Mus musculus: one gene and its partner. The protein of the gene in region 1 interacts with the protein of each later gene in a biochemical or structural test. Links are inferred from orthologs where the notes say so. Each region holds a gene or a part of one and is shown in the gene's direction. Other genes may lie near its edges.

The links. The genes of interacting proteins can lie anywhere in the genome.
Region 2: the proteins of Vegfa (region 1) and Sparc form a complex in vitro, tested with the Homo sapiens proteins (2 studies listed by BioGRID, with this or other methods). The link is inferred for Mus musculus from reciprocal best matches to the Homo sapiens genes VEGFA and SPARC.

The regions. Positions count from the first base shown.
Region 1 is NC_000083.6:46,019,370-46,022,459, reverse strand, and holds part of Vegfa (vascular endothelial growth factor A), read left to right. Parts: intron 1-111; coding exon of another isoform or gene 112-183; intron 184-1,337; coding exon 1,338-1,469; intron 1,470-3,090.
Region 2 is NC_000077.6:55,396,022-55,399,669, reverse strand, and holds part of Sparc (SPARC precursor), read left to right. Parts: intron 1-344; coding exon 345-478; intron 479-973; coding exon 974-1,122; intron 1,123-3,648.

The DNA.
Region 1 (3,090 bases):
GTGACTAGGGTAGTTTTGGGTCTCCTGCTCCTGCCTCTGTCTTCTTCATTGCTCCTCTCTTCTCTTCCCTCTCGTTCTCTTCCTGTCTGTTTCTGTTTTTATATTTTCCAGAAAATCAGTTCGAGGAAAGGGAAAGGGTCAAAAACGAAAGCGCAAGAAATCCCGGTTTAAATCCTGGAGCGTGTACGTTGGTGCCGCTGCTGTCTAATTCCTTGGAGCCTTCCTGGTCTCCAGACAATCGCCTGCAGCTCCTCTAACCCTGCCCACCCCACCCCTGCCCCACCCCTACCTCCCCTCTGGCTCTTGCCCTGCCTCAGTCTCTCTCTCTCTCACTCACCCCACTAATGGCACCAATGGGTAGACTTGGTGGTGGCATTGTTGGCCCAGGGTTGGGTTGGGGTGGGTGGAAGGTGAGTAGATACGGAACACTCAACTCAGGGAGGGGACTCTGGCTTGGCTGGGCACCGACTTTCTCTCACCCACTGGGCATTGGTGGCGGGGCCGTTGTTGGCATGGGCACTGGGCATCAGGGCCCTCTCATCCAACTGGTTTCCACTGCTCTAGACTCTTGCACATGTCTGGAGGGTAGGGGTGGTGTGGAGGGCAACGTGGAATGAGTTGAGGGGTCTGTTGGTGGGAAGTGGACTGTGGTGGGCTGAAGTTGGAGCTTGAGCGGGCTGTGCGGTAGCCCGTCCTCGTCTGTTGGAAATGCTTTGACCCCTGGGTTTGAGGCTCCAGGATGGGAAAGCCCTCCCTATCCAGCCCAACAGAAATCACCCACAGAGGTCTCCTACGGTGGCCTCTTCCTCTGCTTATAGGCTGTTGTGGGCTCTGGAGGCCTGGCTGGTGGACAGTGCCACTGGACTTGGATTACCTTCTGCTGGCCCTCTCCCTTGGTGGAGGGTCTGGGCAGAGGCCCTTTTCCAGGGAGAAGGTACCCTGGTGGTCTCCTGGGTCACTTATCACTGTCCCCAGCAGGTGAAGAGTCAAGGTGTGTTGTGGGCACAGCAGTTGTGGGGGCCCTGTGGCCCCAGATAGGCCCATGTCTTCGTGGGGCACAGCACTGTCCCTCATGGAAGCTTACCCTCCCCCTGCACTCTGCCTGCCTGTGCCCTCCTCTTCCTGCAGGCACATGTCCTGCCAGCGCTGCGTCTCTTTGCCACTCTCTCTGTCTTCTGCTAGAGTGCTCGGATCTTTCCAGAATGTGGAAAGGGCCTAGGGGCCGACGAGCTGGGTGGGGAAGCCGTGGTGGACACATTAGGGGGTGTTGCATGGGACTCTCTCTCTCTCTCTGCTGACTCTCTAGCTTAGATGTCTTTCCTTTTGCCTTTTTGCAGTCACTGTGAGCCTTGTTCAGAGCGGAGAAAGCATTTGTTTGTCCAAGATCCGCAGACGTGTAAATGTTCCTGCAAAAACACAGACTCGCGTTGCAAGGCGAGGCAGCTTGAGTTAAACGAACGTACTTGCAGGTTGGTCTCCAGAGGGCAAGCAAGAGTCAGAGAGGGGCATCACAGACACGGGAGAGAGAGAGAGGGAAAAAGAGAGAGACAGAGAGAGCACACTTGTGAGGGGCCAACTGCTTGCTCGGCTTCTAGCTGCCTGCGTGGTGACTGCTACCTTCTCTCCTGCTGGGGCTCTGTGGGGCCTCGGGCTCCAGTCTGGCCCAGCAGGCCTGCTCTGAGATGGCCCTGGTTGCTTGAGTGGGTAGGCTGCTGTGACTTAATGTGACGGTGTGGACGCAAGTTGTGTGTTGTATCCTGTGGTCCTGCTGCTTATGGAGGCTGTTGGTGTTGATGTTGTTAATTCTATCATTGGTGCAAGTGTTAAAACCTCCTTCCAGGCGTGGAGTGATGTCTAATAGTGTTTCCTGGCTGCACCTTTGCCCCCCCGGAGAACCAGCACAGCTGAGCCTCTCACCACTCAGTATATTTTCCCTGGGCTTGAAGGCTTAGCTCCTGTTGTCTATTCCCTTAAGATTATGGCTTCTTGAAGACAGGCTGTCTCCCTCAGACTGGAGCTCTGTAAGGACAGGCCATGTGCACCTCAGACTGGAGTCCACCTTAGACTGGGCTTCCTGAAAGAGGCAGGGATCTGCTGTTGGTTTGGGCTAGGAAATTTTTTCTACATACATCCGAGGACACTACATAGCTTATCCCTCATCAGTCAAGGCAAGTGTGACAACCCTGACCAGCCCACACATTTCAAAATGCTTCCAATGAGTTTCAGGAAAAGAGTCAGATCCATTCTTCCTGACGGGACTCCATGAGTACCTGAAGCCTGGGTCATAAACTGTTGGGATGCCCAGGTATCTGTACTCCTGTTTTTTGTCCATGTGGACCTAGGAAGTGTCAATCTCACGAGTAAAATATTGTATATGGCCACACCCACTGGGGAGCTCAAGAGCACAGGGCTGTTGACTGGCAGTCCCAGGGTGGTTTATACCGGTGTGGCCTGTCCCAAGGATGACCATCACCGAGGGAGGGAAAGCTTTTACGGGCTGGCCAACAAAGGGCCAGCCTTCCTTCCAGGCAGTGCAAGGGTTCTCTGGCATGGGCCTTGTTCCCCGCCTGCATTCTTGTGTCCTGTGGGTTCAAAAGACACCAGAGGCCTGGCGGGTCTCTCTCTCTCTGTGGTCCTTGGTATGAAGTTGTTTCTGAGAGGCTGTATGAGAACAATGTATCTGTTAGTGCTGTGTAGGGACTCTTCCCAACAACAGGGCTGGGTGAAGGGGCTCAGTTCACTGGAGGGTTTTAAGGAAGATAAAGACCTTGGTATTGTAGGGTTTCTGGAGTGAGCTGGGAGCTAAATGAAGTCACCTGACTTCCAGAGACCCGACTCAGTCCGCTACTGCCCTGTGTCTGGGAACCCAAGACGAGGTTAGGACCCGTGTTTCCAGCCTGTCCTCAGGGCCACCAGCCAGGGTCAGGAGCAAGAGGAGAACATCTTTGGAGATTCCTTCTGCTTCAACAGGAGGAACAAAGCCACTGGGTTGTCTGTCCTCTGCCTAAGTCAGACATCATCGTGTGGTAAAAGGCAGGTGTAGCCACCGGGCAGTTCAAGGTAGAAGCTGAGGATGAGAGAGGTCTAGGT
Region 2 (3,648 bases), on another chromosome or scaffold:
GATGCAGGTTGTTTCAAACACCTCCTAGAGGTTGGCCTCCAGTTCTGCTGGGATCAAACCCTGGCCATCGCCTAGAGAGGTGCGAGAGCATCTGGGTGGGTGATAGAACCCCTCAGCAGGTTGGGTGCAAGCCAGGAAGCAGCAAGGTCTTGAGCTTCCCCGTGCAGACTTTTTTACTTATGACTCTGGAAAGAGTCTGGATCAGAGAGACAGAGAGAGGCACCAAGGCCAGGGGTGCTCAGTAGAGTTCTCATGGGCTGTAAGACAAGAAGGAGACAGTAGTCAGGTGGCGAGTCTGCCCTCTGGCAGGTGTAGGTTGATTAATCTTGCCTCTTGTGCCCTAGACATCGCCCCCTGCCTGGATTCCGAGCTGACTGAATTCCCTCTGCGCATGCGTGACTGGCTCAAAAATGTCCTGGTCACCTTGTACGAGAGAGATGAGGGCAACAACCTCCTCACTGAGAAGCAGAAGCTGCGTGTAAGTGACCTCCTCCCAGCTTGGACTGCTGTGCCTGCTATTCATCTCCCTGGAGTTTGCTGATGGAGATCTAGGGCTGATCTCTAGAACCTGGCCCCAAGGTGGCCTATGCCCCACTTTGCAGGGTGCCTTCACCATTGACACCAGGACAAAAACTTCCAGCCACCTTTGGAGGCTCTGAGGAGGTCTGTAGTAGACAGATCCAGAGCATGACCCTATTCCCTCTCCTCCTGAGTCAACAGGCCTTCTCTTTTAGGGAGCATATTTAGCCTCATGGCAAAGACCTAGTGTTGAGTTCTCGGCCTCTTCTAAAGTCTCCATAGACAGTGGGGGCTTGGGGCAGGTGGTGCTATGGTTTCCCCATCTGTGTGTGGATAAGCTGCTAACACCAGCACCTCTCTCCTAGCCTCACTGTGAGCTCTGGTCTTGGCTGGCCTCTTGTTATGTGGTAGAGGGGGATGGACCCTTGGTCACCTGCTGATCCCGCCCCTACAGGTGAAGAAGATCCATGAGAATGAGAAGCGCCTGGAGGCTGGAGACCACCCCGTGGAGCTGTTGGCCCGAGACTTTGAGAAGAACTACAATATGTACATCTTCCCTGTCCACTGGCAGTTTGGCCAGCTGGATCAGCACCCTATTGATGGGTAAGAGTCAGGGTCCTCAGGACCATAGGCTCAGCGCTGTCCTGGACTGGGGCTGGTAGGGCATTCGAGGGGGCAACCTTTGCTGCTTCTCGGCCCAAGACTCCACGGTCAGCTTAGGGCTGGGAGGAAGTAAGCCCTGAGACATGTAATGTCAGAGGAAGCAGTCAGCAGCAGTACAAAGAATTCTTCCCAGGCCTATGAAGGCAGGGGCAGGGGGCCCATGTGGGCAGAGAAAAAGAGCCCAGAAACAGCCTTCAATGTGACCCAGAGCCAAGGCCTTGCTCATCCTTGTTCATGCTTGTGTGTGGTCCTTCAGCTGAATAGGGCAGCCACCACAACGGCCATGTCTCAGACTCCTCCTGAGGTTCAGTTCCATGGAGCCCACCTGGCCCCAGAAGTTCCTAAGAATTTCAATGGCTTCCACATTACATATTCCTGACCTGGGTGCTCTTGGCCTGTGGTCTGGGCATTGTGAAGACTTCAGAGAGTTTGAAGAGCAGTACCTAAGCTGACACTGAGTACCTACTCCTCTGTCACTTCTGGCTTCCCTTTGCAGCCATGAGAGTAAGAGGTCCTCCCTGTTCAGGTCCCAAAGAGGCAACTCACTCACTCCTTCCCGGGGCCGTTGCTGCTCTATGCTTTGAATATCAAAAACAGGTGGTTACTCAGGGGACAGGCAGGACCACCTCCCTGGCATAATTGGGAGAGAGATATTAGGCCAGAAAGGCTTCTCTCTGAGATGCTCATCACTCTATGTCCGGTTGTGTGCTGACCAACCCCCACCCCCAATTCCCTCCCAGTGCCTGGCTCTCCTAGGCTCTGGGAAGCTCTCAGCTGCTCCTCTCCCAAGCTCTTGCAGTGGCTGGGATCCAACTGAGTGACACGGGGGTATGGAAGGGAGAGTCCTGGGGGACATCCGGATCCCGTGTGCCAAGTGGCCTCGAGAAAGTTCGAGGTGGCTTGCCAGGGCTGGATGGCTGGGGAACGCTCCAGCCTCCTCTTGGTCAGAGCTGGAGGTGGCCTTGCAGTGGCCCGAGTCTGTTTTCTCACAGGACCATGAAGGTCCTGGCCATCTCAGATTCTGTGTGACGCCTCCTGTGAGCAGGAGGCTGTGAGGAACACTGGAGTCAGAGTGTCCCCTGACGTCCCTTGTGGGTAGTTGTGTTCTGGGGACAACTAATTGGGATTCTGAGGAGAGAAAAGGAAAAGAAGCAAAGATCATGCCCTAGGGTCTGAGGCCAGCAGGAGCACACAGAGGACAGAGGGAGGGTGACCCTGAAGTCACTCATTGCATGATGTAGCCTTCCCATCTTACCACCCAGCCAGGCCTGGTTCAGCCCCTCCCGGAAGTCAGAGCCATCACCAGATTTTGTTGTTCACTTATTTTTAGCACTGGGGATAGAACCTCTCACTAGGGAATTCTAGGAAGTGCTCTATCACTGAACCACACCACATTCCAGTCCCTTACTGGAGGATTCTAGTCCAATACTCTACCACTGAACTATGTCCCCCAACCCTTTACTGGTGGATTCTCAAGGGGGATTCTAGGCAGGTGCTCTACTGCTGAGCTATATCCCTGCCCTATTAGAGGACTGATGGGTCTTTTAAGACCCCATTTTAGGCTCCTGCAGTTATATCAGTGTGTGAACATCAAAAATCTATAGTGTGGTCAGGAGGGGGTGGTGCACGCCTTTAATCCCAGCACCTGGGAGACTGAAGCAGGCAGGTCTCTGAGTTTGAGGCCAGTCTAGCCTACTTAGAGAGTTCCAGGGCTATACAGAGAAACCCTGTCTTGAAAACAACAACAAAGAAAAGAAAAGAAAGGGAAGGGAAGGGAAGGGAAGGGAAGGGAAGGGAAGGGAAGGGAAGGGAAGGGAAGGGAAAAGAGAAGGGAAGGGAAGGGAAAAGAGAAGGGAAGGGAAGGGAAGGGAAGGGAAGGGAAGGGAAGGGAAGGGAAGGGAAGGGAAGGGAAGGGAAAAGAGAAGGGAAGGGAAGGGAAGGGAAAAGAGAAGGGAAGGGAAGGGAAGGGAAGGGAAGGGAAGGGAAGGGAAGGGAAGGGAAGGGAAGGGAAGGGGGAAGGGAAGGGAGAAGGGAAGGGAAGGGAAGGGAAGGGAAGGGAAGGGAAGGGAAGGGAAGGGAAGGGAAGGGAAGGGAAAAGAGAAGGGAAGGGAAGGGAAGGGAAGGGAAGGAAAGGAAAGGAAAGGAAAGGAAAGGAAAGGAAAGGAAAGAAAAAGAAAGGAAAAGAAAAGAAAAGAAGAGAAAAGAATGACAATCTATATTGCAATCTCACAGACTTTGACGTAGCATAACTGAGGTGCCGAATATATTGTTTCTATGTCCCCAACACTCATCCAAGTGGCCCTTACAATGGGGCCTATAGACTCAGAACTGGAACAACTTCACTTACTTCCCTGTCAGATGGGCTAGGAAACTGAGGCTCAGAGTAGGGTCGTGTGGTGGTGTCTTGGGTCTCTCCTGCAGGACCATGGCAGAGCTGTGGGTAAAGCCAGGATCCCAGCCCTGGGC